Arabidopsis thaliana: one gene and its partner. The protein of the gene in region 2 interacts with the protein of the main gene of each other region in a pairwise test. Each region holds a gene or a part of one and is shown on either strand. Other genes may lie near its edges. The genes, in order: LCBK1 and AT4G33940.

Region 1 (17,274 bases), on a different chromosome or scaffold from region 2:
CAAATATTTGTAATCACACTAATTTTACATATTCCATGTAAATATTTAGGTGAACGTTAACAGAGAGTGAGAGAAGTAGTCATTATTAAAACGTCGGCATTCTATTGTTATCTACACAACACAGCACCATTCTGAAAATATCTATGTTACACACACCCTCAATAATATGACCAAAGAAATGAAAAATACTTTAGATGCATATTTACTTCCAGATCTCAAATCACAGAGCTAAAAAGATAAGATGGCCACAAGAGTTTCAATTACATAAAAAGAAGATGACGCCATGACACAGGGATCTATATAACTGGTTGGGCTGGGCTGGTAACCGCAATACAGTTGTGATCAGACACTCTTAGCCTAGAAGTTTTATTTTGTGTTGGTGTTAGAAATTTTTAAGAGTAATACAAACCTGTTGCCAGTAGGAATTCATGAGGATGAAAATCTAGGCTTTGAATTTGCCCTTCATGACTCTTAAACTCGGTCAGCAGTTTTCCAGCTGTTAAATCCCAAACCTGGTAAAGACAAGCTGCATATCAGATCCATTAACACACAGAAAGATAAAAAAAAAGGTTCCCGGTAAATTGCTTTTCAAGATAACAATACAGTGCGCTGAGAGAGGTAAAGAAGCAATAACCGAGAGAGATGAAGCATCCGAAATAGTTGGCCAGGGTGGTCTATGTGGGTTTTAGCAAAATGCAAAAGAATAGTACGTCCTAAATACTCTCATATAGCATACTCAGCTCAGGTGCAGAGAGGTAACACTAAATAGTCGCAAGTTCTCCTCCACACTTAAAGGGCAATGCTTACTACAGAACGTCATTCATGAGATACATACAAAGAGAATTAGAACAAAAGCTTATTCCTACCAACTCTCGAAAGCCAGTTCATAGTCTATAACCAAAAGCGCAGTTTCATTGCTCCAAATTCTCCCAAAGGTAAATCCAAACTAATTATGTCAACTAAGCAGCTGTATTTCCCTCCACAGTAGAGAAGATAAAATCACATACCCAGAACTGAAAAATGACTAGTGACATGAAAGCAGCTACCAACCTTAACAATGTTGTCCTCTCCTCCAGATACAACCCAGCGACCATCTGGGGTGAATCTGAGTACATTGACTCCTCGCGTGTGACCCTTGTAAGTATGGATGCAGCCCTTTTTTCGTATATCCCATATCTTAAGATTTGTGTCTAGTGAGCCTGACGCAAAAAACTCACCAAAAGGGTGGAAATCCACTGAGATGCAATTGGACCTGTGACCAGTGAGAGTCCTGACAACTACTCAACAAAGCAAGTGAAAGAACACGTAAGTACTCACAGAAGTCAAATCGAGTCCAATAAGAATGGTCTCTTGGAACTACAAAACTTACTCTTTGCCTCCTCTAAATCCCAAAGTTTGATAGTACCACTAGCAGCTCCTGCTGCAACTAAGACCTCCGAAGCATCAAACGTCACTGAATCAATTCCACTTGAGTGCCCATACAAGCTCTGACAACAAACAAGCACAAATGAGATACTCAGAAAGAGTGAATCCCATAGAAACACTCTACTAACTTATAACCAACACATAATGAAACAGTAGACCGAGAACTGACCAGAATGGCATTGGGCTTACCAATAGCCCAAAGATTGACCTTGTGATCTTCACCACCTGTTACCAGAACCCTAGAAGACTTCCTTCCGATCTTAAGACAATTGACAGCAGCAGAATGTGCCACAAATTCCTCTTTAAACCACACAGAAAGTCAAGGCTAAGCAATAGGTACCAGATAGAGACTCTAGTCAAAACTCAAACTTGACTTCATTCATAATAGTCTTAAATTTAAACAGACAAGTTTCTCGAAAGGTCTTAAATTAAATTACTCCACGGGGAACAAATGCAAACATGAAAAAAGATGAACACAGACAGATCTCGTGCATATCAAAATAAAAGCAGTAGATCAAACACGGCACTTGTGACACAGAACAAACCCTAAAAATAGAATCTCAGAGAAAAATACGAAAAGAATCAAAATTGGTGTAAGAAAAGGATACGAAGCTTATAGGCTCGCTTGGTGGTCATGGCGGAAACGAAACCCTTGAAGTGGAGGACATTCAAATTACACTCTCAACAACCATACCAAAACCAAAATCTCGAGAAATCGAAGAAAGCAAGCAGCCCTCAAGATCTCCGCTTTCTCAACCGCTGAACCAATCTGAAAGCTCAAACGGGAAACAGATCAAAAACCCAGAAATCATTTCTGGGAAAGATACAAAATGAAGCCTTTAGGAAATGGAAGCCGTACCCAGCAAAAAAGGGCTTAACTTTCGTCTTCCCAAAACGCCAATCTCACTCTGCTCCACGAAAACACACAAAATTTGGGGAAGTGAAGAAATGATAAAGGAGGAATTTTTTTGAGGAATACTCGGAACTTCGTTGTTGTCTTAGATAAGCGGAAAATCTAAGGAGAAGTTGAAAGTGATTTCTCTTTTCTCCAATGGCGAAGTAAAAAAGGAGACAGAGAGAGATTGACAGAGAGCAGAGCACAAGGAAGAAGAAGAAGAGAGAGAGAGAAGCAAAAAGGGAGGCGCAGAGAGAGAGAGAGATACTTTTTTAACCTTTGGCTACGTCTTCTCTCTTTTAAGTTTTCTCCCTCTTCTCTCTATTTCAAATTCCCAAAACAATTTTTTCATTTAATTCTTTGAGTTCCTCATTTTTCATGCATCTTGCTACTATTCACATTTACATTTACAAGGAAGAGTACAAATTATTAAACTTTTACCATTGGTTTCTTTTTGTCAGAAACCATCATGTTTGTATTTTGCATCTAAAATGAACAATAACAATTAATTATTCTACATAAGAGTATATTCAGTGGAAAATTAAAAAGAGTATATACATTCTGATTGTAGGAACAAAATAGTACTAGTGCATATCCAAAAATAGTTTTTAATCAATAAAAGACTTAAAAAAGGGGAGACATTGCACAACTGAAATCGCGGTTTGCAAATTAATCCTTAAGAAAATGTTTTGACCGAAATTTTATATAATGGAATTATGAAACTACTGTCGGTGCTATAATGGAAAATGGCGATGTAATCATTAATAGGTGATTATTGCTTAGATGTTAAATAAATTTATTATCATGGACCCTTGTCCAAAAGTTACAAAATTTATGTACAAGTGTTTCAGTTCTAGTATCTCTTAACATTTAAAAAACTCGTCCAAAACAAATATGCAATGATCATATAACTTATCGGTTATTTTCCAAAGTATTTTTATACAATATTAGTGATAACGTACTGTGAGGATAAATAAGTGAGCGATCCAACAGCAAAATGTAACTTTGTATCCATAATGAAAGAACAGTGACAGTCAGTAGATAGACCAACGTTGGATAGACAAAAAAATTATGGTGAAAGGTTTGGCTTGAAAGTAACGGACTACCTAATTGCATGGGGCCATGAGCGATCCCATACATTTTACAAGTACACAAACTCTAACTCCAAAAACAAAAGATTTTTTTATTTAATAAAGAGTTTTTTTTTGTGAAACCATGATTTCAATGTTGCAATGCTTCTTGAATCTTGACTTTAACCAAAAATTCATAATTATTTTGAATGGTTAATTTAATCATTTATCCGTCGTCGAATTTTTAGAATTAGGGACTTGATTTATTGGTGCAATGTTATTTAAGTAGAATTGACATTTCACATTACATTAAAATATCAGGAACACCTATTTTAAAATCATGTTTTTTATATTCTCTTGTTAAAGAAGAAATTCATTAGGTGGTAGAAATCAATTACGTAACATCAAGAAAACAACTTTATGGATAGATGTTAATTAAATAAACATTCGGTAAGATAAAGTTTTTATGTGGAAGATGATTGTAACAACTTTTAAAGACAAGATTACAGTAACTACAAAATTTTGAAATAGAAACCTAAAATTACGGACATATATAAGCGTTTTGACTTTTTAGAGTTTAAATTACTTTGTCCCTCATTACATATACTTTGGCTGCTTGCTTTTGAAAGCGCACAATGCATTAGCTAATTAAAAAGCTAAATCAATCATTGCCACCATGGTCTGGCCTGGCCTTGGCCTAGATGTGCTGTCACCAAATCTGAGTTTTGTAATCCAATTATTGTATTATTCATATGCAAGCTCGAATCTCCATCCACTCCAATTTTAATACTCCAATCTTTATAAAACGTTGAACTTTGGAAGACGTGATACATGGACGTGTTAGTACGTTAGAGTTGATCAAACAACCATAATAATATTCCTCACAAAATCTAAACATATTACTAAGATTTTTTTTTTAGTTTTCTTCTGAGAATAATGACAGACTCGTGATATCTATGATGATGAACCTGTCTACCTTAGGGCATATGTATTTGACTAAGACGACTCGCTTCTCTCTACCTAAAATATCTTGTTTTAAAGTTTATGAGAATAGGAATAGCTAAACCGATACGGGCCTAGAATCTGACCCACGAACGAAAAACGGGCCTAATCTGACCCACCAACTAAACATAAGGATGACATATTTTGGAGCACTTTCCTTTAGAGACTTTAAGCTTATATACTCTATCAACAACAAAAGCTTGAAATTCACAAGGTTTCAAAGACTAACAATCGTAGCTCAATCATCTCCTAGATCAAAATGCGATTGATGACGACTACAAATCTAGATTGCCTTCTCCTCTATCTCACTAGGACGAAATGCGACCACGAGCATAAAGATCATCACCAATACCACAGCCACGAAGCTGCTGAATTCACAAATACTAGAAAAGACAGAAGAGGAGAATGACAATAGTTTACCTTTGATTCAAAATCAAACATATTTTATAAGCTAAAGACACATGAACCAAACAGAGACAACACAGATTTGCATATAGGAAAATCATCTGAATACCTAAGGAACTGTTTCTCTAAGACTCCTCAAGTACGATCCACACTATGTAACATCTCAAGTGCTAACTCAATCTAGTAGAGAGTCTGAGCTCCACTCCCTAATCACCCTTACCATCATGACCAAGATCCACCCTTTCAATTCAAGATACTTCAATGATACTAGTCTTAAACAGCAAACATAGTAAACTAGGTGTTATCCCAAATTGGATCTTGATCTTGCTAATGGAATCATTTGAAACAACCGCAGCCTAAAATTGCCCTTATTAATCATCAAGAAACCACATCTAGATCCAACTTTTCGTTTCTTCCAATCTATCGAACACTAAGAAACCAATAACAAGATCAAGCCAATGAATCAAATCAACATAAATAGAGAGTGAAGAAACCCTTATGTATATGATTGCTAAAGGTTGAATACACATCACACTACATACAAATCATTCTCCATTCCCAGGTTCCAGTAAACACAACAAACAAAAACAAACACTGAGAAAGGAAAACAAAAATTGTCTTTCTTGTTTCATCACTGATCAATGAACTCGAACTCATCTTCCTTAAGATGTGAAACAAATTTAACAAGACCACGACCTTCAATTTCTTTGAAGAACTCAATCTTATAAGGAAGATTAGCTGAGATTCGTTTCCCTTTCCAAACAGCAACGTAATCTTTGAGTTTACCTTCCATACCTTCTAAATCAACCTCTGGAACTCGATTTACATGATAAACCTTCAACGGTGCAGTTACTCTAACCCTAGATCCTATCTTCGCCTTCGCTTCCGCTTCGATTTCTTCCTCTGATGACGGTGAGGACGAAGGATTGGCGTCTGCGTTTATCGAATCTGCGGATTTTATCGCTACATCGCATCGAATCGTGGTTCGAGAAGTTTTTCTTGAGCTTGAGTGTTTGATTTGAGATTGAGAGGTGAATAGCGAGAGAGGTGCGACGATGCAAGATTTGAGAGCCATGGGGGTGGCGGTAGCAGTAGTGGCGGAAGCGGATAGACAGTCGTGAGAGGACGGACGGCGAATGGCGGCGGCGATGGCCGGTGACAAAGCGATTTGGCTACTCATATCAGTCCGAGTGAAGAAAAAAAAATGTGTGTGAAGAAGATTTGTGCAAGTGGAATAAAACTGATTCGTTTTCTTTTTTCTTTTTTCAGTGGGAAGATATAATTAACATTTTACTATTACGACCTTAATATTTTGCTTTACAATTTTAAAAATTATAAAAATTTTGACCATTGATATATATGTTTATATATATCATTGGATATAAGTTGTATTTTATTTTATTTTTGTTAATAATAAATAATTTTGATCTAAAATACAAATAATTTTCAAAATGTATAGTTGAAGATGGTCAGTCCACCGGATAAGCCACTAAAATTAGATGTGTTATTATTTTGAGTTTTGACTGACCAAATAAAAACGAAAGATTATGGAGTGAAAATCAAATGAAAGAATGCAAATTAACCTCATGGCTCATGCACATGGTTTACTACCGGATCATTAGTGTGATAGTGTCTACTATTTCCAAACGATGGAAATTTTTTATCATTATTAGTTGGAAGAATTGATGCTAAAATATGCATTTACATTTTTTTAATATGTCAAAATCTTCATCTACAAATTTATATGGATGCAATTTAATATGATTTTTTTTCGAATGAAACAAATCAAGAAACGTGTAAATGATAAGCAGACAGAAAAAAAAACATGTGAATGAAATGGATAATAACAAAGGTTTAAACTTTAAGAAGTAAAAAGGAAAGGGAGAAGAAGACCCAGCAATATAAAGAAGTCAGACGTGTGTCCTTTTTCACGGGATGAGGAACGTGCGGCTTCTACTATATTCATCTGTGAGACTCTGATGCTTCAAAGTTCCGAGTCAGACAGAAAGAATCTCTATCAGTTAAATATCTTCGAATAAAATCTTCTTAATCCACAAATAATATCACTTTAGAAGTTCACCTAGTTAACCTAGTCCAAAAACCTCGTTACTTCAAATCATCTATTTCGTTATTGATCGACTAATCCAAACAAAGAAATGGAAACACACAAATCGTTGTAGAAAACACGTACACAGTACATATATAATTCAAAACACACAAAAAAGGGCAAAAGAATATACAAAGGGTTTTAGAGTTATAGGGAAGTTATGGCACAAAAGGATGTACTTGGTATACTCTCTCATGTTTGCTTCTCTTATCACATAGATGGTACTTACCGTAAACTTGACGCCGACAAAAAACAAAAAACAATAAAAATGAATTCCAGATATATAAACATCCAAACTCTCTCACCATCCTCACAATTTAGATGAGATTAATTAACTATGAATGTCGTCCAGGAGCGTTACCGATCAGTCTGCATTGTTCAGGTAGCATTGTCGATATCACTTCTCCATGCAATGCAAACAGTTCCCCGTCTATCCCGCAACTGTCATGCGTATTTTTCCCCGCCTTTATCTTCACTGATTTCACCTGCAATTGTCATGCATTTGATCAACTACATTCTATTCTAGACTTATAATATTTGCATTGAGTTTGACCGTTTGATTAGCATTTCCTAGCACATAGCGAGTTGCAGGTTTCGTAATGTAAGAAAATAGGAAAGATAATTTACCTTTACACACTCAACATACGGAAGAGAAAGGTGTCGACCTGTTTGCAAAAGTATAAAAAACCTCAGTAACCTCAGTCTTCCACACCCATGAACCAAGAGCATATCCATTGTACCATCATCATGTTCTGAATTGGGAGCCACGACTTGGGAACTTTGCACAGTCCGACAAGCATGGTTACAGACCATGATGCCGAGGAAATGTCCCTTTCTCGAAACCCATTTATCCTCAAATATTGGAGTGATGCTCTGTTTCCTCAGTCCTGTCTCTATATCCTCAGGAGGACCAGGCAGCTCGATCGAATTTTCTACATCCCAAGCAGACGGTTCAGTGTCCCATTTGGGTCCTGCATCCCAGATTGGACCTGGATCAGATACAGTAGATGATATATCTTCCCTGTCTTGACCACCGGTATTCCCCCATGAACATCGAGTTGGAGGATCCTGCACGGATGTTAACCCCATCCATCCTTTATCCATTCTTGACTTTGATCTTGTCCTTGGCCAATTAGGGGTTGTTGACTGTGCTTGAGGATGAATAACCTCTGGCTCAGCCGTAACATCTCTTCTTCCAGAGGACAAGCGTTTCATTTTAGGATCTATTCCACGGACATATTCAGACGGCTCAGTGCTGGCATGTGTGCTGCTACAAGTGTCTAATTCGCCTACGCTTGGGGTCATTATGGAGTCAATACTTGATAAACTGGAGGCTCTAGGAAATCCTTCTCTGCTTGATCTCCTCATTACATCCGTGTAGAGATCTTGCATATCCACAGCTTCCTTTTCAAGTCGAATTTTGCCTTCTGCATCCTCTTTTTGTGCCGGAAGATATTCCACTTCATAGCTATACTTCGGCAAACACATGAACTTGAGGAATCCAGCAACAAAGTAACGCAAAGGACCAAACCGTTTTTGGTATTTTTCAGAGAGCTCCAAAACTGCAAATAGATAATGACAAGAAAAACCATGAAATTTAGTTATAGCAGGTGAATGCCACAAACATTATACAGTATTCATGAAGGTAATTATATGTGCAATAATCCTGACGTCAAACACGAGACAGCGTCCAATAGCTCAAACTAATACATCAAACACACACCGGAGCTGTTAAAGAAATGGAGAGAGATTTACAGCCTTTTGCACAAGTTCAATGTATTTGAGTTTATCCATGATACGTTTGAATAACTAGGCGATTTTCTGCTTCTAACTCATCATCAGAAGAGTGCACATTCTGCAATATTCTATGAAATTATGTGTCTTGGGAGTCAGCATAGTGTTCACACTGTGCCAGTTAAAATATTTAGAAGATAAACTGAAAAATTACAGTAAGGAAGATTTAAAAACTCTCCTCTAAAATGCATGAAAGATCTAAACAGTTGCAGACACGGTGAATGAAACAAAGAAGCTAGGAATACAGATTCAAACCTAACTACACTTGAGAAACTGTTTATCATTAGAAAATCATACAAGACAAAGCACACAGGTATCCTCACTTACCATCGCTAACAAAACCATAGTAGGAAACAGTCATTCCAAAGTGTATAATACCGGTATGAATCCATTCAACAGCAAAGACATCAGTAGCTGTTAGGCCACCCTAAACCAAAAAAAAAAAAATCTTTCACTGAGAAAATATTAATTAAGTAGAAGCTAATTAATGTTGGCGGCTGGATAAAACAAAGCAGGGACCAATAGGATTTTAGGCGGGGTTACCTTCACAATAGAGAGTGCTGCAGAAATAGGATCTCTTACACCAAGGACAGTCCAAACTAACGAGTTATCAGAACCAGCAGGTACTATTCCAATTGGGATAGAAACTCCTTCTTTCGGATTGCTTCGAGTAAGCAGACCATTAAGAACCTGAAACATTGAAATAAGGCAGGCCTTGAGATGAGAGTTCATTCCAAGTAAATAGAATCTAGGAGATGTTAACATCGAAAGCAGTCTTTTGAATCCATCTTAGTCTACCTAAAGAGTTCTACATCAATCGAAAAATCAATAGTGAAAGTTCTCATGTGTTTCAACTCGAGCAAGTATTTCCCTATAAGATGCATCCCAAAGTCCTCGCTCTGGAGGATTAGAGTATCTAAACTCTTAAATTATTCAACATGCTTGCAAAGTGGTGTGAGCACGCTGAAATAAGCCAATAAGGTTTCATTTTAATACCAAAATTGGTTCCGAAGTACGTTCAGGCACCAGGGCTTGTAAGCAGATAAGTAACCGGGAGTATGGTATAAAAGGAACATCACTTCATGAACTTAACTCCTAACCAAAATAGGGCGAAAAAATGAGTATAGTTTAGGAAAGGTAATTATCACACCTCATTGATGATTCCATCCCCTCCAACACAAATAATTCCTGGAAGAATTATTAAGAACTCGTAAGTAATAGTAGATATGTAAGATAAAATATATGCATATTAGAAGCTAGATATGTTAAACATATCATTAAGTGTTGGAACAAGTAGAGGTACCGTCAGAGCATAAGTTAATGTCGACAGTGGAAGCCAATTCTCTCGCATGACCTGCTTTAGTTGTTTTGACAACCTCCATCTTAATTCCGGCCAGCTGTGACAGTTCACAAAATCATAAACAAGATTAAAAAAAATGCATAATGGGATTGGAGAAATGGAAATGGTTCTCTAGGGTACCTAAAAGTGGAAATAATGTGATGATGTAGTACTACAACATCCAAAAAGAACAAAAAGATGGGAACGGTACCTTGAAAATTGGTTCCACGACATTATGGAAAACTTTGATAGATCGTCCATGTCCTGACCTAGGGTTCAATATGACAAGCATTTTGGGTGCACTCTTACACCTGAAGACCAACTCAGGAGGGGTATCAATGGGGACCGAAAATAACTCAGACGAAGCCTGTTTCTTTGCGACTAAAGGATGTGGCAAACAGTTGATAAAACATTGTTGATCTCCAAAACTGGCCACCCATTGAACGGCTTCTTCTACTGTAGGTGCGACAAAGCGGAAATCCTTGCGGCTTCTCTTTGGTTTCGTGAAGCAAGACAGGCCACAAGAACCCTTGCCAATTGGATAAGCATGCACAGTGAAATGCCTAAGACCAACATTGTATGTCACCTGGAAAACATAGATAAGTTTGTTGACTCAGTTCTCCAAAACACAGAGTTAATTAGTTCATTGCAAGGCCAACAAAAACCTACCGAGACAACATCGTTAAGCTGTAGCATGTCAGAACCCCAAACCAAAGCGCTGCTTGTAAGCTTTGCATCAACTGCTTTCTTAATAGAGATGTCCGTAGCGGCTGGTTGCTGTATCTCTGTTGCATCTTTTCCACTCGCAGATTTCCTCTTATCCAACACAAGCTTCCCAGCGTAAACAAGACTACCTAACAAATCTGATTTCTCATCCCCTCCACCAATATCGATCCGATGCTCATCAGGCTTCGGTTTCACCTGTGGATCATTAGTAACCTCACCACGTCTCGAAGATGCCTTCACCTTCTTATTTCTCTTTTCAGGGAATACTATAGGAGATGACTGCTGAGATCCACCCGTAGCTATTTGGGAGCAAAAACCTAAACGTCTAAGCGACTGTTGTGCCTGAGGAATGGCTACTTTCAAAGAAGGGTTCCGATTAACACCACTCTTCTGCATATCCGTACACTAACAATCTCTCTGCTCTTGAGTTCCGCGGACGAAACAGACGACAAACAGTGATCGGAAGGCATACACAAAACAAAACCCCTGATGAGCATAAACAGAGAAACCCAATCAAACCTCGTTCGAGCTGGTCAACGAACAGATTTTAGAGAGAATTACACAATTCTAATCCGTAGCTATACATCAGATCCATCAACGCGTTTTCAGGAAGAATTCTCCTGTAACAAAATTCATGTCCATGGATCGATTTATAACCAGCATTTGATGGAAATTCAATCAAAATAAGAACACTATACAACAGATCATGAGGAATCGGAAGCAAATGATAAACGAATCTGAAAACGAAATCGTCGTCAGAGCTTGCTTTTAGCTATTTATTCGTCTTACCTTAGCTTCTCGGCGAACAAAAAGAAGAAATGGAGAGAAGTGTATCAGCAAAAGTAACGCCGCCGGATCGGAGGATCTGAGAAGCGTCAGAATTGAAGAGAGGTGGCGGAGAGAGAGAGAGAGAAGACGATAATGGCGGAGGAGATGATGACTCGACTCAATTTCGATTCGATTTCGATTGGATTCGACTCGACAGCAGAAACCTATGGCCCCCTCCTTTCGGATTTATTTCCACTACAGAACCTTTTTTTGGACTTCTTTTTTCCAAAATTTTAATCTATTTTATTTATGATATTATAGTAGTATTTGTTACTTTAATGGCTATGTTTTAAAATTATTTTGTACTTTATTTTTCGAAATATTTTATTCTTGCAATTGCTTTATTCGCAAGATATTTTTTTTAAAACCCCTCATTTTTAATATAAGTTTTTAGTCCTAACTTTATATTTATATATTTAGTAGGTAAATTTGAATTCTCATAGAATTTTTTTAGTAATTAGATTTGAATTTGTTTCCTTGATTATAAAATGAAACAAAACAATGTTATTAAAATTCAGTAAAAATGTTATTTATATTTCAAAAAACTTAATAAGTAACAAATTTTATTTATCAAAGTATAATATCCATCTAAGATAAATCATATAAACTCTAATTTTGATACATATATATTTTCTGGAAATGTTTTAAAAAATTTCATATATAACAAGGCGATAAATCATAAATCAAAGTTTTCCTAACAATGTCCAAACTATATTGTGTACTTGTTCCTGGTTATATGGTTTTGTGATTGACGATAAAAGTGTGATACAATATCATTGATATGATTTCATGTCTCATCTTCTTCTATTGTTAAATGATTTTTTATATATTTATTTGTTATGAATTGTAGATGACTTGGGAGAGAAGTATATACTATATAAGCTTATTTTCATGATCAGATTAATTAAGCTTTGTAACAAACACTTATGTGTGTAATGAAAGTTTGTTAAGTTTTCGTTATCATCTCTTCTCCGATCATCGGAGTTTAATATGGTATCAGAGCTTTTTCGTTAATTCTTCTTCTATCGTTTTTGTTGGAGACGAGTTCTTTGTTTCATTTGTTATTCCTTTTCCGTTTTGCAATTGGTGATTTGCAATTTTATTTTCTTCTTTTGGTTCATTCTTCTTGTATAGTAAGTTGATCTAGAATGTTATTCGATCAGATCTTAGAGATCCAGCTTCTAGGGAAAAAAAATATGAATGATGTTTTCAAATGGTAGTGGATAGCTTTGGTTATGTTTTAGACATTCTTGTAATCGTGAATTGTTATAATAATGTGAAGTTTTATTGACTTAAAAATGTTACAGTGCATTAATTGCATTCCATTACTCTCGTTAATCGATACAAATTACGTTCATATAATCATTATAAATAGTTTTTTTATTAATTATTTAAACAGTTATTAATTGCATAGGTTAATCCATTTAAACAAATTGGTTGGGTCAACTCATATACTCATTTAGCTATAAACTTATTGGGTAATGAGTTGAGTTGAGTTTTTAACGCTCGTAGTATCATAAACCAAATATATATCTATATTTTAAAAATTTAATTGTTTAAATTTATAATGAGATATTTGATATTATTTTCAATTAGATACAACATCAAACACTATAATTATTTTTTAATCTTTAAATAACAATAAATCATTTTATTTATATTATATATTATATATAGAAAAGAAGGAACATCAAATACGTGGATTTAAATATTTACATAGAAAAACGATGACAATTTTACTTATAATCAAAATTAGAAGAAGTTGTAGATAAATGAAAACATTTTATCAATACGGAGTTGGCCCATTGATAAATCTCACAGGTAGAAGTTCTGGATTATATTTCTATTGGGATGAATTTTTTTTCCAAAAATATGAATTTAACTAGATGTGAATTCTAAATTTAGGGAAAGTAAAGTTTTCATGTTTGAACTTTTAGATATTCAAAAAGAAAAGAAAAAATGAAAACACTTTCAAATACAAAAACATGATGTTGAAATGATATACCATATATTATATGTATCTAAGTGACTGGTGACGTAAACCATAATGCTAAGTGATTTCTGACATATTATAGAAACTACAAAAAAAACATAAATTGGAAATTGCCATGATATAACCTAATTCTATTTAAAGAAAAATCACCGACTTTCACATTCAAAGAAATTTAATATATGATTGTTAATTTACTTATGTTCTTGAATCTTGACAAAAGAAACGACTATTTTTTCAAATAAATAATTTCAAAATTGATAAGAAAGTCAACCACCGTTACACCAAATTTAGATATGATATATTTATTGGTCACAAACTACTACTACTATTTGTAGTTTACCATATTTTCTCACTATAGATGCCGAATATTCTGAATATAACAAACAAAAAATTTCTTAAAATGGTTTAGCTTAGCTGTCAATATTTCCATAGCCAGATTTAATAATTTAGCTTTCAGAAAACGATTATGCTATGTTAGTTGATGATGGTTTAGCTTAAGTAATAACCTTATAATCTTAAAAGGATGATTAGAGAAGGTTTAATAGTGGAAGAAGTTGGTAGATGGGAAGATGGTCCCGACCATTGTTACATAAACAAGTCAAAATAAAATTATTAAAGTGGAAAATGTTATATTGGTTTGGTTCATTCAATTTAGAATTTGGATGTGGCGACCAACAGACAAGTGATGCTTCGTTAAGAAGAATTGTTAAAAGGGCATCTTCTTCTTTCTTATTATAAAAGCTTGGGCACATCTAAAGGCATTATTGCTTTATTTTTTGTATTACTTCAATAAAGTTTGGAACGATAACGATAATGATGCAATTAATTCTTTGTCGAATATTCATTGTAGTGTCATGGTAGATTGTAACACGTTTTGTGCAGATCTTTTTTTTGACAACAGCAAAAAATAAAAAATCACACATCTTTTGAAAAGTTATAAAGATGATTAGCTTATTCTTTCTCGTTGTTAACATAAAGAGGATTAGCTTACCTTTATGGAAACTTGAGAAATACGTACATTTCAACTCTTAGAAAAACAATTCATATATTTCTTAGATCGGAAACTAATAATGTTTGAACGTATGATGTATGAAAAATCATACCCTTAATTACGAGCTTATTGGGATATAATTCACGAGATATGTGTACATATGTTCCACATGTTTTTTTTTTACATGAAATAACAAACTCGAAACAATGAATTATTGTTGAAATTGGAAACTCTTATATAATGTCACAAAATATTTTCCATCAGTGAGAAAAGAACGTTAAATTTTAGAACATAGTTGCAAATTTTCTTAAAATATTTTAATGTTAATTTAGAAAAAAAGAAAGAAAAGTTCTTGAGCTGAATAATCAAGGATGGTATGTGAACTAAGGCCCATAAGATAGATCTCTTTCTTCTCGCTCTCGCATCTATCAGAGGGAGAGGATCTCTACTCCGATCTCAATCGAAGTTTTAGATTTCGTTTTTTTGTTTCCGGTTTACCGGATCAGTGTATATTTTCGCCTTGTACGATTTAATAATTCTGATTTTGTTTTCGATTATGTCCGAAACTTTCTCGCTCTTGCGAGTCTTCGATCTCACTCTCCTGACACTATTGACATCTTCGCTCTTCTTCACAATCCTCTTTGTTTCCGCCAATTTGCTCGAGGAATAATATATTCATCTTTCCCCTATTGCTCATGATGTTTGAGCAAGGATTCAACTACATCAACTTAGGTGTGGCCAGTGATGGAGCTTCCCCGAAGTTGGCGTTAATCGGAGAGTTTTTGAAGCAGTTTTTCTACTCAAATCCGGAAGAAACTTGGCGTTGTGGGCTCAAGCTTAGAGATCGACATGAGGAAAGAGGATTCACATCGCCTCAAAGCCGATTGACGGTGGCTGATCGGAATTTTTGCGGTGTCCCGGTGAACCCGACAATGAGGCTCAACGTCATGACACGTGGCTTAAGGACGACACGTTCGTTACACGTGTTAGACACTAAATCAACTTGCGTTTCTTGTTTATCTTTATTTTAATTTGGTTTGGCCTGGGCTTATATCCATGTAATTTTTTTGAACCTTCTGTATTTCCTGCCTTTGGGCTTTAATCAAAGGAAATTGCTGGAAAAAAAAAACTAAGGCCCATGAGATTCAAAGCCTCATTGCATTTAATAAGTATCGAGGGTATAGTGGTCAAGATGACGAGGGTTTTGGCCTTTTGGGCCTTTTGGCGCGTCGAGAGTCGGTGCTTTCGAAGAAAAAAGGAATTTTTTATTTGATTCACCACGCTCTCTCTATATAAACCTCAATTACCAAAACCATATTTTTTTCCAGTATACAACAAATTTCGCAGCTTTTCACTCTTTGCTCTTTAGGGTTTGTAACCAAAAAAAAAAAAGTCTAGGTTTTTGAGTCGATTTCATAAGCTTTTCAGGTGATTCTTCGTTGTGTCCGGTTTCAATTAGTTCTCGTAGATTCAGATTCGAAACCATGTCTCTAGTTGAAAACCTTTTTCTTGAGCCACAATCCAAAAGACGTAAGATCAATCCAGAGACCATAGAGTCTCCGTCTCCTAATTGCAATCATTGGTTCGTCCGCAATAAGATCTGTATCTCCTGCTATACAACAGTGGACAATTTCGAAGGCAGATCTTTTGATTATCTCTACAAAGGGATGCAGATGAGTAACGAAGCTTTAGGTTTTACAAAAGGGCTCATCTCTCAAACCTCTTGGCTTGAAGACAAGAAGCTTCACTTAGTACTTGACTTGGACCAGACGCTTATTCACACCATTAAAACTTCACTGCTTTATGAATCTGAAAAGTATATAATAGAGGAAGTTGAATCGAGGAAAGATATAAAGAGATTCAACACTGGCTTTCCTGAAGAATCTTTGATAAAGTTGAGACCTTTTGTTCACCAGTTTCTGAAAGAATGTAATGAGATGTTCTCTATGTACGTTTACACAAAGGGTGGTTATGACTATGCTCGGCTCGTGTTGGAGATGATTGATCCGGACAAGTTTTACTTTGGCAATCGGGTTATAACGAGAAGAGAGAGTCCTGGTTTTAAGACGCTTGATCTTGTGTTGGCTGATGAACGTGGGATTGTGATTGTTGATGATACCAGTAGTGTTTGGCCTCATGACAAGAAAAACTTGCTGCAGATTGCTAGGTACAAGTATTTTGGAGACAAGTCTTGTTTGTTTTCAGAAGATAAGAAGAAGATAGATGAGAGTGATGAGAAAGGACCATTGAATACTGCTTTGAGATTCCTCAAGGATGTTCACGAAGAATTCTTCTATGACTGGTCGAAGAAAGACTTGGATTCAGTGGATGTGAGGCCGTTGCTAAAGGAGATTTCTTTGAGATGGAAGCGTAAAGCAGACGGTGTGGTTTGAAGTTAAAGTGTTGATTCATTTTTTATGTTTCTGCGTGTGTTTTTTTTCTTTCTTACGGCCTGTGTTTTGTTTATTATATTAGATCTTGATGGTAGTTATTGGTAATGGAGGTACTTTATGCGTTTCATAATGTGATGAGATGTGACTTTTGAGTTTTGATTCAGTTTCAATCTATAATATAATGTTTCATTGAAGATGTATTGAGGTTCTTATGGGTGGTACTTACAGAAAACTAGTCACATTAAGGATGTTTCTGGTTCTAACAACATTTAGTGAGACAAGAAACATATAACGAGATGAAAACTT
Region 2 (14,299 bases):
ACTGTTGAATTGTGATTTGTCAAAGCATGGGAGATAGTTTGAAATGACGGATTTACCCTTTCTACTTACAACGTTCTGACAAACAATGGGGCCTGTAGTTTTTAGAAATGTTTTTTTTTACCGTGACTAGTATAGAAAATAATATTTTAATTAGTATAAACTTTCTTTTTATTGGCAAAGTATTAGTATAAACTATGTGATTTGTTACTCTTTATTTTTCAGTAAGTTTTATCTCTCCATAATATTATGCATTAATTTTTTCCGATTTATTATATGTCTTATTGTAAATAGTATAGCAAAAAATATGAAAATATTAATTGATTAAATTTATGCCTAGAACAGTTACTAAAAATATCTAAGTTTTCAAAAATATAGCACTAGAATGGTATGAGATTTAAAATAACAGATTTTGAATTGATTTTATATCCCAATTTAATTTAATCAAACACAGTGAAAAATGAAATAGAAATAATTTAAATTAACAATTAGTTTTTCTGTTAGTGGATCTATATATTAATATCGTAATATGTCCCTTACATATGTACATTTTTGGCTACTGGATTAATTTTGCCCCTTAAATATGTCCTGAAACGGAGCTGATGAAACATATACTCGCATTAAACAAGCTTATGGCTAATCATGGGAACCTCCATGTATTAATGACCACTAAAAAGATTTACTTTCTATTTCGGTATATAAAAAGGGTTTCCGCATTTAAAAACGGAAAATAAAAGAAAAACAAGTTACCACAAATGTCGAGATATTGTTGGCTAGCTTGTCAGATCTTCACCTAAAAGCTGAAACCGATAGAGTTGCACTCATCATCACTATAGCCCATCATTTTTACTATCTAAAGTTTTTGTTTATGCGCATCCACATGACGATTTTGCTGCAAACTTTTTTTTTAATCATCTTTTAAAAACATATATCCGTACTTAATATTCCCAATACACTCTTCTAGAGCTCGATCATTCCATGGACGTGAACATTTTGTCTTTGTTTCTCTTCCCTTTAGTCAAACAAACATTTTGTCCTTGTTTCAAACTAAAATCGATTTCTTCTAAATAAAGGAAATTCATTGACTAAACGAATGATTTTAGTGAATGAATGAAAATTTCTCATTGTGAAGCCTCTGTTTCTCTATTTACTTTTTTACTATTTAGAGTACCTTTCACCGAAATTTTCAATCAATTCCTTTCAATTTTACTACATGTTCAAGCATTCGAACAAAAGCAATCGTTGCAAAAAAGACTAGATCGGAATGCCTTCTACCCAAAAGAGAGAACTCAATGCAAACTGTTTATGAAATTTTTGAAAAAAAAAACTGGATTCATTCCGGTTGTTGCGAGTACCAACCAATGGAGAAAGATTGACCTTAGTTATTGTAGTTATCAAGGCCAAGGTCTCTCAGTGCATCAGTTGCAGCGGCTCTGCATGTCTCATTGTTGGCTTTAGCAGTTCTTATCAGCTTCTCGATTCCATTAGCAAGCAGAATAGTTCTGTAGTGTGCATGCAGACAGAACTTGATATTATAAAAGAGTTTGCGATATGTGCATATTGTTGGATGACAAGAATTGGAAACAGAGCAAAAACCTGTTCTCTGCACTTCTGACAGCAATGTTCCGTATCATGTTGCAAGCGTTTCTCTGCATTTGAGCAGCTACTGGGAACCTCTTCATTGCTTGGACCGCTAGATCACCAGCTCCAGCTTCTATAGCCTTGGCTGCGTGGTCTGGTGATCTCAGACAGATTATAGAGATTATCAACATCACCTGAACCAATCAAGTATATCTTGGATCAACCACAAGGATTATGCACTCAGACCCTAATGCTACAAGAAACATTCTTCACACGACATTACGTTCTATCTAGTGGAAAACTGCCAAAGACGTGACCTGTAGTCACAAGTATCTTCTCTAGACAGGAAGATTTAAAATTGCGCATGGGACATAGTGTCATAAGAGGGTTTTCGTTTGGTTTATATACTTACCTCTTGTATGACTAGAGGATCATCAGAGAATCGTAGTGCGAGTGTGATTAGCTTGTCCAGACCTTGCTTCTCAACTATGGTACTCTTGTTAGAGTCACTTCCTGCCAACTAGAGATCAAAATACAAATTTTAGATAAACATTTATCATGCGTGGTTACAATGCTAATCTAAATCAGTAATAGGCTTTGGAAAAGCTTAAAATTTGAGAACATGCATTTATTAGAAGCACATGAACATAAGCTACTCCTTAATATGGTGCGGAAAATACTTGAAAGCCTGAGTTTTAAAGAAGGATTTTGAATAACCAAAGGCAATGAAGACAACAGAGGCAGCCTGCAGGGCATATTAGAAGCTACTCACCTTAGACAACAGGGAACAACATGTCTTAGCAGCAGTTTTGTTGCCTTGCTCACCGCTATCATCAATACACCGAAGAAGTGTATCTATTCCACCGGATTCAGCAATAGATTTACATATTTCATCCTGTTTACAGCAAAACCAGATGAAGAACTTGCAAGAACCTAACCAGATAAATGTTATCACACAGAGATTTCAACTAGGAGACTTACATTGACAGCAATTGCTTTTAACGCAGTACTTGCTGACACCAAACTATCAGAGCCAATCCCTGCCTGTAATGCTTCAGTGAGGGCTGTCGCAATCCCTAATTTGGCAAAAGTTCGTGCATAACCATAAACCTGAAACACATGGAAGCAAAAGTCTAGTGGATTTGAATTCTCAAAGCATGTCCATGAATAAGCACAAAAAACAACGATTATAAATGTTTGCTAAGTGCTATATAGCTGTTTTCCCTTAATTTCATTCCCGCAGTCAAAAGTGGCATATACCAAACGAATGTAACCATACTTACTTGGGAAGCAACAACACGGAAGTCATCTGGAGTCAAAAGAGCACAAATAGCATCGTACAGAGCTCTAATGGTAGTTTTACTCTCTCTATTCAACACTTGCAGAATAAGTTCATCGATTTTCAGTTCCATGAATAACTGTTTCACAACTTCATTACCAGTTGCTGCAGCAGCAACAACCGCAAAACCAGCATCTAACAAATCAGAATCGGAGCTGGAATCATTTAAGAGATCAACAACGATATTTGGTCCAGTACAATTCCTGAATCTCTCTGTGCTCTGAATGTCTGCAATTGAATAACACATGATCAACACAAATCAAAGTTAAAACACACAAGAACGACTAATTCAAGAACAGAAGTCATACCACGGATCAACACAGCCAAAGCCTTAAAGCAAGGAACAAGAACACGATTACTTCTAGTAGATATCTTGATTTTGGAACAAATCGAGCAAGTTAAATCCACAGCACCATGTTTTGTCGCAATTGCAGCGTTCCCTGATTCTTGGCTGCTACAAAGCTCATTGAGATTCTTGAACAAACTCGATATCTCATCGAAAACCTCATCTCGAAGAGGTCCGTCTATTGAAACACTGTCGAATTCTTTTAGTCTATCTAAACAAGCAATCACCGGATTGTCCTTAACGCTACTTTCTCCAGGAACACATGTAATGATCCCTGTACCATAAACAAACACACAAATTGAACTAACGCCAGTTCGAGAGGAAGGCCAATTTCTGGAGAAAGTAAAAAGAGAGGAGAGAATGTAAACGGACCAAAGAGATCGACGCCTTGGAGCTTGAGAGTGTAGAGAGCGTCTTCGAGAGCTTCGGAGGGATCCATACCAAGATCTTCAACATTTTCCCTAACCAGATCGTCGAATGCCTCCTGAGATATTGTACGGACACCCATTCTCCTTCCTTCGCCGCTCCGATTCGATAGATCGGAAAAGATGGTTTTCAAGTAGAAAGCTCAATCGATGTTTCTTCTTCTACTGATTTGAAAGCAATTAATTAAAACAGAAACGGTGTCTTTTTGAAATTAAAACGATGTCGTTTCACTGTTTCGAGACCACAGGCACTGTTTCTTTCTTCTACCATCATTTTATTTCAGATAATTATGAAATTTTTGAATCTTTAAATCACTCATCACTCGTCTTTTAGAATATCCACTTCTACTCTTCGAACATTTGTTCAACCCTTTGATCATCTAATCAAAGATTAAGATCCTTTTCCAGAGAGATCTTTTCCAATCAATATTTTATTTCCACTGTTAGAAAAGGAGATATGTATATACTTTTAAAGTCTGCAATATCATTGTCTGTAAAACTGCACACGACTCTCGAGGTTTCTATGATCTACTACCAAACTTATCCACAAGGATCAAACTGCACAAGACTTAATAGATTCACGTGTCTGTTACAATTCCCTTTGCTCTAATTCCGGCTCAATTGCTGCAGCTGCTAGATGTCTAACCTGCTGAGCTAGGCGTCTCCTCCGATATATCCCTACTAAGCGTAGAATCAGGATCATAGCAATCGCAGCGTAGTCAAAAACTGTCACTATTCTGAACCCGCCTGTACAAAAGAGGGCAAAATCAATCTTGGAAAGCTTAAAAGCCTTAAACACACCACATTGAGATTGTTTAACCCTTCATTGCTGGTTTTTGATTTGTGAGGCAACTTACCCGTTGGAATGAAGTTAAACTCTGCGGCAGTGTAAAGGGTACTCATGAACATCTGCAAACACCGACAGAAACTTAGTTTCTCATCTTTCAATGGCCTTTAAAAACAAGAATAAATACAAACTAGTTGCTCCTATGATGATTACAAAGATTGTCTTGCTTGGCCATTAGTACAGACAACAAATGACAACAAGAATAAGTGGGTAGAGATATAACTAAACACTAAACTATGAAATGTAAATTTCAGGGTAAGATGTTCTTAACTGCAAAGATGCGCACTTCGTGAAAATACAGATTGTTCACATCTGTATCCATCATATGCCACACCATTCTCTTCACTAGAAACGGAAGCTCATGCACCTTCTGAATTATTCGAAAGATGGTGGTTTTGCCAAGTCATAAAAAGGAGAAATAAGTATATACATAGATAAGAAATGCATGAAACAGTAAAGAGAAGCAAAACAAAATCATGAATCAAAAAGACCGTACCTGAACAAAGCCAGTTAGACCTCCAACAAAGAGACGGTTATACCTACGGACTTTATCAAGAACCTCCTTCACCTCTTGCTCCTGACGCTCTTGCAAAGATGGTTCTGGTGACAGCTTCGTGATGTGCCTAACACACATGGGACACTTGCAAGGCCTAGATATTGCAGCATAGTTCCAGTACTGCAAGATGCAATTTCCTGTAACAAAATCAGCAACCGGTTTAAGAAACTTTCAGATCTTTTTATGACATTGCAAACAACACTCCATAGTAACAGAGCATGGTTTAAAAATCAACACTTTCAAAAGTTAATCAGTTGTGATAAATCATTCTTGGCTACCAAAAGGAACCCTAAACCAATTCCAACCCAAACAATTCTCCAAATTTACCTCTGACGAACAGAAATATCCCAAAAAGACACAAGCTTGATACTTCAATGTAGATGAAATGGCTCAAGAGAATCAAGAAGAAGAAGAAAGATGAAAAGACTAACCGCAATACCAATGACCACAATTTCCACGACACGGAACCGTAAAGGAGCCGAAACAGATCGGGCAAACATCATCCTCTGGAGGCGACTCGCTCTCTATCTTCCTCTCTCCACGATTGTCTGGCTCAATATTCCTTTCCTCAGCCGACACGACTCCGTCAGCAAGCACAAGCTCGTTCCGATCAAGATTTTCCGTCACAGCGGCGGCGTTAACCTCCGGAAAAACATCGGCGGTTGTTACCTCCATCTCATCCCTCAGGGATTTGCTGCTCCCCAAGGAAGACATATTTACTTCCGAAACCTTCTTCGCTTTCGTCACTTTCTCAGAAGTTTCCTAATTTACAGAAATGAGTTTATTTGGATTTCTTACAGATAAAATAACAGTAAATGGATAAATACATGTCAAAGCGTGTTTTAGGGCGGTGAATGACTGATTTGTCCTCGCTATTTTCAGTAAGGTAAAGGACTACATTTAGGCAAATGGGTCATTTAGTCGCAGTAGTTGGGAGAGGTACTTGGATTAAAGGTGGACAGATGTTTAGATTCATTATAGTATAAATAAGATTTTTTTTTTTTTTTTGTGCGAAAATAAAAAGAATATCAAACAAAACTATGTATACTATATCTTTTTTTTTGTGTGTTAAAGATATATACAATATCCTTAAGCAATGTTAATCGTATATGCAAAAAAAAAAAAAAAAAAGACTCATCAAAATTCAAACAATAATAACTAAAGCTAGATTTATCCACTTTTAAAATCCTATTACTATTTGATCCAAGAAAAAGAAAAAAATCCTATTACTGTTACTAAAAAAACAAATAAAATTATATTCACTAAATAATGGGAACCGACTCTCATTACTCTATAAATACCGAAACTCTAAACTCTGAAGAGCTCACAAAAGCCATAAAAAAAAAAGAGAGAGAAAAAAAACGAAGAAGAAGACACGATGATGGTTCTTTATTGTGGACGTAAGTTACTCGTCGTCCTCATGGTTACTGCGTTCGTGTTCTCCGGGAGTGCTGAAGCATGGAGCTGGAGTTGGGGTTCTGGCCAGTCCGGTTCGAACGGGGGTTGGGGATGGAGATCCGGCAACTCTGGCGGTTCTTCTGGCTCGGGTTCAGGTGGTTCAGACTCCAACTCGGGTGGTTCAAGCTGGGGTTGGGGATGGAGCTCCGACGGAACAGATACAAACTGGGGTTGGGGAAGCAGCTCTGGCTCAAACCATTCAAGCGGCACTGGTTCTACACACAACGGTCACAGCTCTGGCTCGAATCATTCAAGTGCCACTGGCTCTACACACAACGGTCACACCTCTACTGGCTCGAACCATTCAAGCGGCAATGGCTCTAGACACAACGGTTACAGCTCTGGCTCAAACCACTCAAGCAGCACTGGCTCAAACCACTCAAGCAGCACTGGCTCTACACATAACAATCACAGCTCTGGCTCAAACCACTCAAGCATACTTGGTTCTACACACAAGAATCACAGCTCTGGCTCAAATCACTCAAGCATCGTTGGTTCTACACACAACAATCACAGCTCTGGCTCAAACCACTCCAGCATCACTGGCTCTACACACAACCACACGGCTCCAATACCGGCTGGAAGAAAGATTGCGGTTACTGTATGGAAAAACGGATACGGTTACACAGAATGGACAGCAAAGCATGCCCCATTCTACGTCAGCGATGTTCTTGTTTTCAAGTACAACAACGATGATCAAACCCAATCCAAGACGAAGCACCGTAACAAGAAGAAGAACGACGTCTACTTGCTCCCAGACATGAAGAGCTTCAAGAGATGCAATGTGGCCAGAGGCAAGAAGCTGGTTGCACGAGGAGGTTCATCATCAAGAGGCTTCAAGTTGCTTCTCCGTAAGGTTCAGACTTACTACTTCGCCAGTGGAGACCACAACGAATGCAACCACAACATGAAATTCTCTGTCCACCCCATTCCCCGCCCTTCTTCACACTAACTCTAAATCCACTTGTTCCTTTCTTTGATCATTGAGTTTGTTTCCATTCTACGCTTTTTTGATTAATTAATCTTTGTATACGAGTCACTAAAAGTTTTATGCATGAATACTACTTTTACAAAGTTCATAGTTTTCTTCCACTGAATTAAGAAGTTGAAAATATAGCAGTTCAAGACTTATATACAGCAAGTTAAACATAAAAGGTGAAGCAACATTGTTCATCAAACATGTGAAGAATCTTGATCCATATAATTCTCAAAGACACAGATCATTCCCAGGTTACTGGCACTTATAAGCCTAAGACATGTAGTTGTATTGAAAGCTTCAGATCTTTGAGAGCATCAAGGCAAGATGGTCATCAGAAACCTCGATTTCGTTGTATGTACCCAAAGAAGAAGCCAACCTCGCAGCCAATTGATGTTTACACTAGCCAAAAGAGAAAAGTAGAATATAACAAGTCAGTAACATTGATACAAAATCTCTAAACAGAAAAGGAAGCATTCTGATTAAGAATCTTACACATTGGTGCTCTCCTCTGCTTACAACATCATAGAAGAAAGAATAACATCCACAGTAATCTCCTGGGAAGCAGAGATACTCTTCTCTCTTCTGAGATTCCCCCACAACCTGAAAACCCAAACAAAAAAACAAATCTTCTTAGATAATCAAATATGATTGCTTTTATTAACCAGAGAGAACTGTTGAAACCTGAAAGATGGATCTTCCACTGGGTAAGCCAGATATTTTCTTGACGCCTCTCTTGTCGATTATTCTGGTGGCTTTCTCAAGATTCTTACCAAACAACAGCTGCAAGCTGTATTTGCAAAATTAAATCGATAAACCCTAATCATACCAAACGACTGAAGAAAAATCAATAAATATTTTCGGGAAAAATAAAGAATCCCAGCTATGTATAAGAGAGAACTGACATTGAGAGCTGTTCTTCGGTTACTGCAGAAAAAGATGGAAAATTCAACGGAATAAAATGTCGTAAACAAGGAAAAGGAAAGAGAGAAGTAGTAAAATGGTGAAGTACCTGAACCGGTTGATTCAATGTTCGACCAAACGGCGTCTGCGACCAAAAGAGTGACGTTCATCGTTTTGCTTTTTCTTCCGTCGAAACTTTTCTGAGAAAGTTCTTCTGGAATTGTTGAATTTTTGAGTTTGAATTGCTCTGCCCAATTTCATATTCTCAAAAACCGCTCGTGTTCAATTCGGTTTAGATATTTGACAAATTTCAATTTCGGTTTGATTTGGATCTGAAGTTTCGAATGTCTGTCATGCATATTTTCCAAAATTTAGGCAACATCTGGAATTTTGTTGGCTTATTTTGGTTTGTGATCGATAATGTTTTTATTTAGTTATTATAGACAAATAATTCAATATACTAATCTCTCCATACAAGGTCATAAAAAAAAACAATCTGATATATGAAGAGTTGTCCTCAACGGTTTCACACTAGATTTTCATACAAAAGTATTGTTTGTGTCAAAAGCAAAACTGCTTTGCCCAAAAACTAAAGGGTTTCGACCTTCTTTGCTGGTAAAAGAATATACAAATCCAACTCCAATATTGAAAAAAAAAAAAAACCAGTTCTTCGTAGAAAAACAAATAAACAAATATGTAAACAAGTTTTCTCCCTATTCGGATCTTTCCCAAGCAGCCATTTTACCATAATCAAACAGTCAGTATAACACATTGAGTAACCGTCGTTGCTCTGCTTCATCAGAGTGTAATGAGTAGATATCCGGTGGAGCGGTGATACCTCCTTGCTTCACCAATTTACTATTCGATGAACTGGTTTTGTTTTGATCTAGATAAACTACAATAACGCTTATGTCGTCATGGAAATGTCGTCGAATTCCTTTGGCTATTTTCTTTATATCTCCATATCTCATTTCTCTCTTCTTTGCCGCTTCTTCCAGAGCAGCTCTTACAAGTCTTCGGGCAATACCCTGTAGAACACAGAGTTAATAAATAAATAAACTAAGTAGCTAACATAAATGTGAAGATACAAAGCAAACTTGAGTTTAGGGAAAACTTACAGTTCTTGGGTGTTTGAGGACGATTTCTACGGCTGTTTCATCACTAAGATGTTCCCAGAGACCATCTGATGCAAATATCAGAAACAAGTCCTGTGGCTTAAGCTTCCTTACTATAATGGAGGGTTCGGCTGTCATCGCGGGTCTCCTCAAAGGAATGGGATTTCCATGTCGCTGGAAAATCGGGTCCCTGTAATACTCCGGTTTTTTCAAGTATACATCCCCAATTGATCTCGATACCTATAAAGAAGCGTATATGAAAACGATTTAGCTAACTAATATACAACGAGCTCAAACATTCACGGAAAGGTCACAAGCAACTAAAAAGCATGTATCTTCATTATTATGTATAGCTCTGACTACCGGGAATTCTTAGAAAAGCACAAAATCCACTGGGGAAGAAACGTTGCAGGAGCCCGTGTGACGGATTCCTGGAACATTGCAAGCCCCCATTTATATAAATGAAAAGAGAAAAGAAAAAACAACATCAGATTACACCTTTTAAATATTATAACTTCATCACAGATGCTATGTAATCACACGCAATTTAACAAGCAGGCAAGCAAAACTAAGTTATACCTGAATAATGCCTTTAATCCGCCAAACTCCACGTGTGTATAAGACGATTTGTGAGTCATCAGGGTTAAGTGCCTTAACCTCCTTTCTCACTTCTTCAACAGCAACATTATGATCAGTAGATAACCGTTCAGCTACGGCACCTTTATTACTATCAACCCCTGAAACAACGCTTCCAAGAACGGCTCTCGAGTCCCCAAGATTAGCAACATACAGTGTGTCATTAGAGATTGCACCAACAAGACAGCAAGATCCTACAGTAGCCATTTGCGGTTTCATGGGAAGGGATCGTTTAACCATACCACAAAACTCTTCTTCTGTTTCTTTGAATGCCTTTTTGATAACATCTACAGATAATCCCCCATGTTCTCTTGCAAATTCTGCAATCATAAAACCAATCCTGTAAATTTCACTAACAAGAACATGACTACAAAATCAATTCAAGAGGCAATTTACAAACCTGAACATGTTCACAAAGACCAAAACTTCATAGCAAAATTCGAATCTTTTAATATTGAAATGATCAGGGTAATAGAGATCTCATAAGTTTTGACCATCAAAAACGTAGTCAAAGAGTCAAAAGAAGAAAGAATCCTAAAACAAGTTTAGGGAAGGAAGAGTGGGATTATAACTTACTGTGCATATAAGGAAAGAGATGTCTGTTAACGAATCTAGAAGCTTCAGGTCCACCATGACCATCGTATACACCGACGTAAGTAGCAGAAGAAGATGTGAAAACCTGACTCTGATCTTCAAGCCTGGAATTGGCTTGAACCACCGCGATCGAATAATCACCGCCAGCGTGAGGTCTCAATTCCGATTGCCAGAGTAAACCATCACCACTAGCTCTGCTTCCCAAACACCGTTCGAGAGGCCGTGCTAAAGCTCGCAACATCACAACCTACTTAGGGTTTTTCTATACAGAGAGATTCTGAGTGCAGTAGAGTTAGAGAGAAAGAGATAACAAGATTTTCGATTCGATTGGATGAGAGAAATCGAAAGGTTTTTTTTTATTGAATTTTGATTCGTTCGTTTTTGTTTGATCTGATCGGTTTTAAGGGATTCGTGTGTGTGTTGAGTTGGTGGTGGTAAAAGAAAACCGCGTGAGGAAGAAGAAGAAGAATATTGATAGAGATGACTTGTACTTGTGCCGTTTCTTAGAAGGCTACGTAGACTACGCGTCGTTTTGTTTTAATTTCGCCCTCCCCCTTCTCTTTTTTTTTGCAGTTTTTTTCAACGCGTTGTTTATTTTTGTTATTCTTCTCCATTTAGCTTTATTTTTCTCAATAAATAGACAAAGTTTTGGCCCAAACATAAACGTCATTGCCGTATATTATACTAAAATATCTTTCTTCTGGAACAATTCAAAAACTTAAATTCTGATTCGGTCCAACAAAAAAATATCTAAATTCAACAGCTACTTTTATTTCTTTTTGAAATAGGAGATATTATATTAATGTAGTGTATAATATATATATTTATTTATATGTGATTTACAGAGTCAATGTTTGAATATTATTTAGAAATAGTAGACCCTTTTGAAATATAAATTCATGTCTACGATGAGTAAAGAATCAATTAAATTGTTCATGTCTACAAAAATGTTTACATCGTCTGCAAATAGCAATAAATTAATTCTATTTTGTGTCTTATATATTTTGTATTTGAATATATCAGTGGGAAATTGTTATAATGAGCGAATAATGAATGGGTAAGGATGAGTAACCTGTAGCCAACGTGTAGCTGATATATTTGCTTGTCAACTAAGAAAGACGGATAACAACTGAATACAATTTCTTGCTAATAATCTAGTCATCTTAGTATCTATATTATTATTAACCTAATTTTATTATCACGTTACCGTTTCCGGTATAAGAAAAAAAACATGTTCTGGTCAAAACAAATCTTTGTGTGCTGTGTTCTAGAGCATACTATTAAAACGATGAATATTATTGCTTATGGAGTAATTTATATTTAATTACAAGTGGCACATTTTTATTTGGTTGTTATAAAAAGGTTTGCATTTTGGGATTAAGAAATTGACGTGGAAGGACTTATATATATACGCGGAAGCAACTGGAAATTCATTGGCCCAAGTTGTCGAACTTTTTTGATCATGATGTTTACCTTTACATTTATAACATTATGGATGCGTATTTATCGTTGTTATGGATCATAGGGTGATTTTCAACATATATAGATCCATTCATTTTATTTTTTTTAACATTTGCATATCCACTCATATTATACCGATGCATACAAGATTCATCAAACAAAAAAAAACTTAATTAGTACTACTATTATTTCTGTCAATGCTCACTAAGAATCTCTCTAGTATCACATCTCTCTTCAGTGAACAATGCTCTGTGAACCCCAAGAACCAAACATTAAATGAGTCACCTTCTTTCTTAAACAACAGTTCTATAGCCCACAAAGAGAGCTCCTTGAACCTTCTTCTCGACACAAAGGCTACTTGAATCTTCTTCTTGCTTATTCTTTTCTAAACTCAAATCTCTATATGAAAATCATTTGTAGAATGGTTACACATTTTATTTGGTTATCAAAAAGAAGTTGCAAGAATATAGACTATTAGTTAAGAAAATAAACTCATTTGAAATTTCGTTGGATAATGTATTGATCTCGGCTTAAGACTCTCTAATTTGACTGTATATAATTAATAAATAATCATTCTTTACTTTTTAACCATAAACACAATTCAATGTTGGACTACATATCCACCTTACATTCTAAGATCGATTCCAAGTCATTATCGACAGCCTGAATGAAGCAAAACAACTCAAAAGAAGCCCACCTAATTCAAATCACAAAAACGTTCAAGTTCCATCGAACCAAAACTTAAACCACTCTACGCAACCAAACTTCAACCAAAAAAAAGGATAAATTCGGCGCATTTTTTTGTATTTGTTGACCAGTGAAGAAAATGACAAACTGGTCAACGAGATCTGATCATTAAACTATAAAACAATATATTTTAAAGTAAATAGAAATTTGTGGTGCTTCATTGGATCGACGAAAGGCGTCCCGATATTGAGGTTCGTTACGCCGGCGAAGATTTTCATCGGAAACTTATCTGATCGTTTACGCCGGCGAAGATTTCCATCGGAAACTTAATCTGATCGGAAGGAAGAAGGCTCGATGAAGAGCAGATTGAAGAGCTACAGGAGGAAGAAGCTAGGGTTAGCCACAGTTATCGTCTTCTGTTCTCTCTGTTTCCTCTTCGGTTTCTATGGCTCCACTCTACTTTCTCAGGTGTGGAAACTCTCTGATCTTTTACTCTGTACTCTTTAGATGTGATTGGAGTCTTTAGCTTGGTTTTGTGACTAATCGAGGGTTCTATGTTTGGGATCAGAATGTGCCTCGTGTTAAACCCAGGTTGAGAATGTTGGATATGGTTGAGAATGGGGAAGAAGAAGCTAGCTCGATGCCTCATGGTGTTACTGGAGAAGAATCTATTGGATCGATTCCTTTTCAGGTCTGATTTTGTTGCTAATTTTTTGACTTTTAAGATGTTTGGATTGGCAAATTAGGTGAAATCGATTAGTTAGGGCAAGATTGTGCATTTGATTATCTAATTGAACTTTGTTTTTTTGTTCATGTGTGGTGACCATGAGTGTGAGTGAGAGTATTGTGTTTTTTAGCAATTAGTCAACTAGTGAAATTTAGTACTTCATCTTTATGGATTATTTGGTTTAAAATTGGCAGGTACTTAGTTGGAGACCTAGGGCTATATATTTTCCGAATTTTGCAACTGCAGAACAATGCCAAGCTATTATTGAGAGAGCAAAGGTTAATCTGAAACCTTCTGCTTTGGCTCTCCGGAAAGGAGAAACTGCTGAGAACACTAAGGGCACTAGAACAAGGTCTTTCTTTCTTTCTAGTTTCATGTTTCGAACATTCATCAGTAGCCTCAGTGTTTTTGCCTGGTGTGTTGTTGTTATACAGCTCAGGAACTTTTATCAGTGCTTCAGAAGAGAGTACTGGTGCTCTGGATTTTGTTGAAAGGAAAATCGCAAGAGCTACGATGATCCCAAGGTCCCATGGAGAGGTATGATTCTCTACTTCCCAAATCTATGTGAATCGTAAAACTAAGGCATGTTGAAAGTGGCAAACGTAGGCTTGATGGCCTTTGGTTTAGTGCTTATCACCCCTTTAATTGTAC

The links.
Region 1: the proteins of AT4G33940 (region 2) and LCBK1 interact in a protein complementation assay, tested with the Arabidopsis thaliana proteins (one large-scale study listed by BioGRID).

What each region holds. Positions count from the first base shown.
Region 1 is NC_003076.8:7,897,802-7,915,075, forward strand, and holds LCBK1 (long-chain base (LCB) kinase 1), read right to left. Parts: upstream 11,785-17,274; 5' UTR 11,553-11,784; intron 11,384-11,552; 5' UTR 11,160-11,383; coding exon 10,707-11,159; intron 10,624-10,706; coding exon 10,249-10,623; intron 10,096-10,248; coding exon 10,002-10,095; intron 9,887-10,001; coding exon 9,849-9,886; intron 9,507-9,848; coding exon 9,462-9,506; intron 9,389-9,461; coding exon 9,242-9,388; intron 9,126-9,241; coding exon 9,026-9,125; intron 8,467-9,025; coding exon 7,532-8,466; intron 7,390-7,531; coding exon 7,240-7,389; 3' UTR 6,907-7,239; downstream 1-6,906. Other genes in the region: AT5G23430 (Transducin/WD40 repeat-like superfamily protein), read right to left, coding at 410-512, 1,051-1,277, 1,370-1,487, 1,595-1,725, 2,034-2,061; FTRA1 (ferredoxin/thioredoxin reductase subunit A (variable subunit) 1), read right to left, coding at 5,429-5,977; AT5G23460 (uncharacterized protein), read left to right, coding at 15,271-15,606; AT5G23470 (Haloacid dehalogenase-like hydrolase (HAD) superfamily protein), read left to right, coding at 16,060-16,968. UniProt on the Arabidopsis thaliana protein: Involved in the production of sphingolipid metabolites.
Region 2 is NC_003075.7:16,257,591-16,271,889, reverse strand, and holds AT4G33940 (RING/U-box superfamily protein), read right to left. Parts: upstream 5,872-14,299; 5' UTR 5,806-5,871; coding exon 5,523-5,805; intron 5,229-5,522; coding exon 5,032-5,228; intron 4,906-5,031; coding exon 4,807-4,905; coding exon of another isoform or gene 4,786-4,806; exon of another isoform or gene 4,598-4,785; coding exon 4,546-4,597; intron 4,436-4,545; coding exon 4,278-4,435; 3' UTR 4,006-4,277; downstream 1-4,005. Other genes in the region: AT4G33945 (ARM repeat superfamily protein), read right to left, coding at 1,376-1,499, 1,594-1,772, 1,991-2,098, 2,351-2,473, 2,560-2,688, 2,862-3,145, 3,226-3,537, 3,636-3,771; AT4G33930 (Cupredoxin superfamily protein), read left to right, coding at 6,470-7,501; SSN2 (zinc finger SWIM domain protein), read right to left, coding at 7,826-7,927, 8,021-8,128, 8,210-8,315, 8,431-8,452, 8,538-8,598; AT4G33920 (Protein phosphatase 2C family protein), read right to left, coding at 9,187-9,456, 9,547-9,783, 10,123-10,499, 10,756-11,014; AT4G33910 (2-oxoglutarate (2OG) and Fe(II)-dependent oxygenase superfamily protein), read left to right, coding at 13,276-13,389, 13,490-13,612, 13,843-14,000, 14,083-14,185.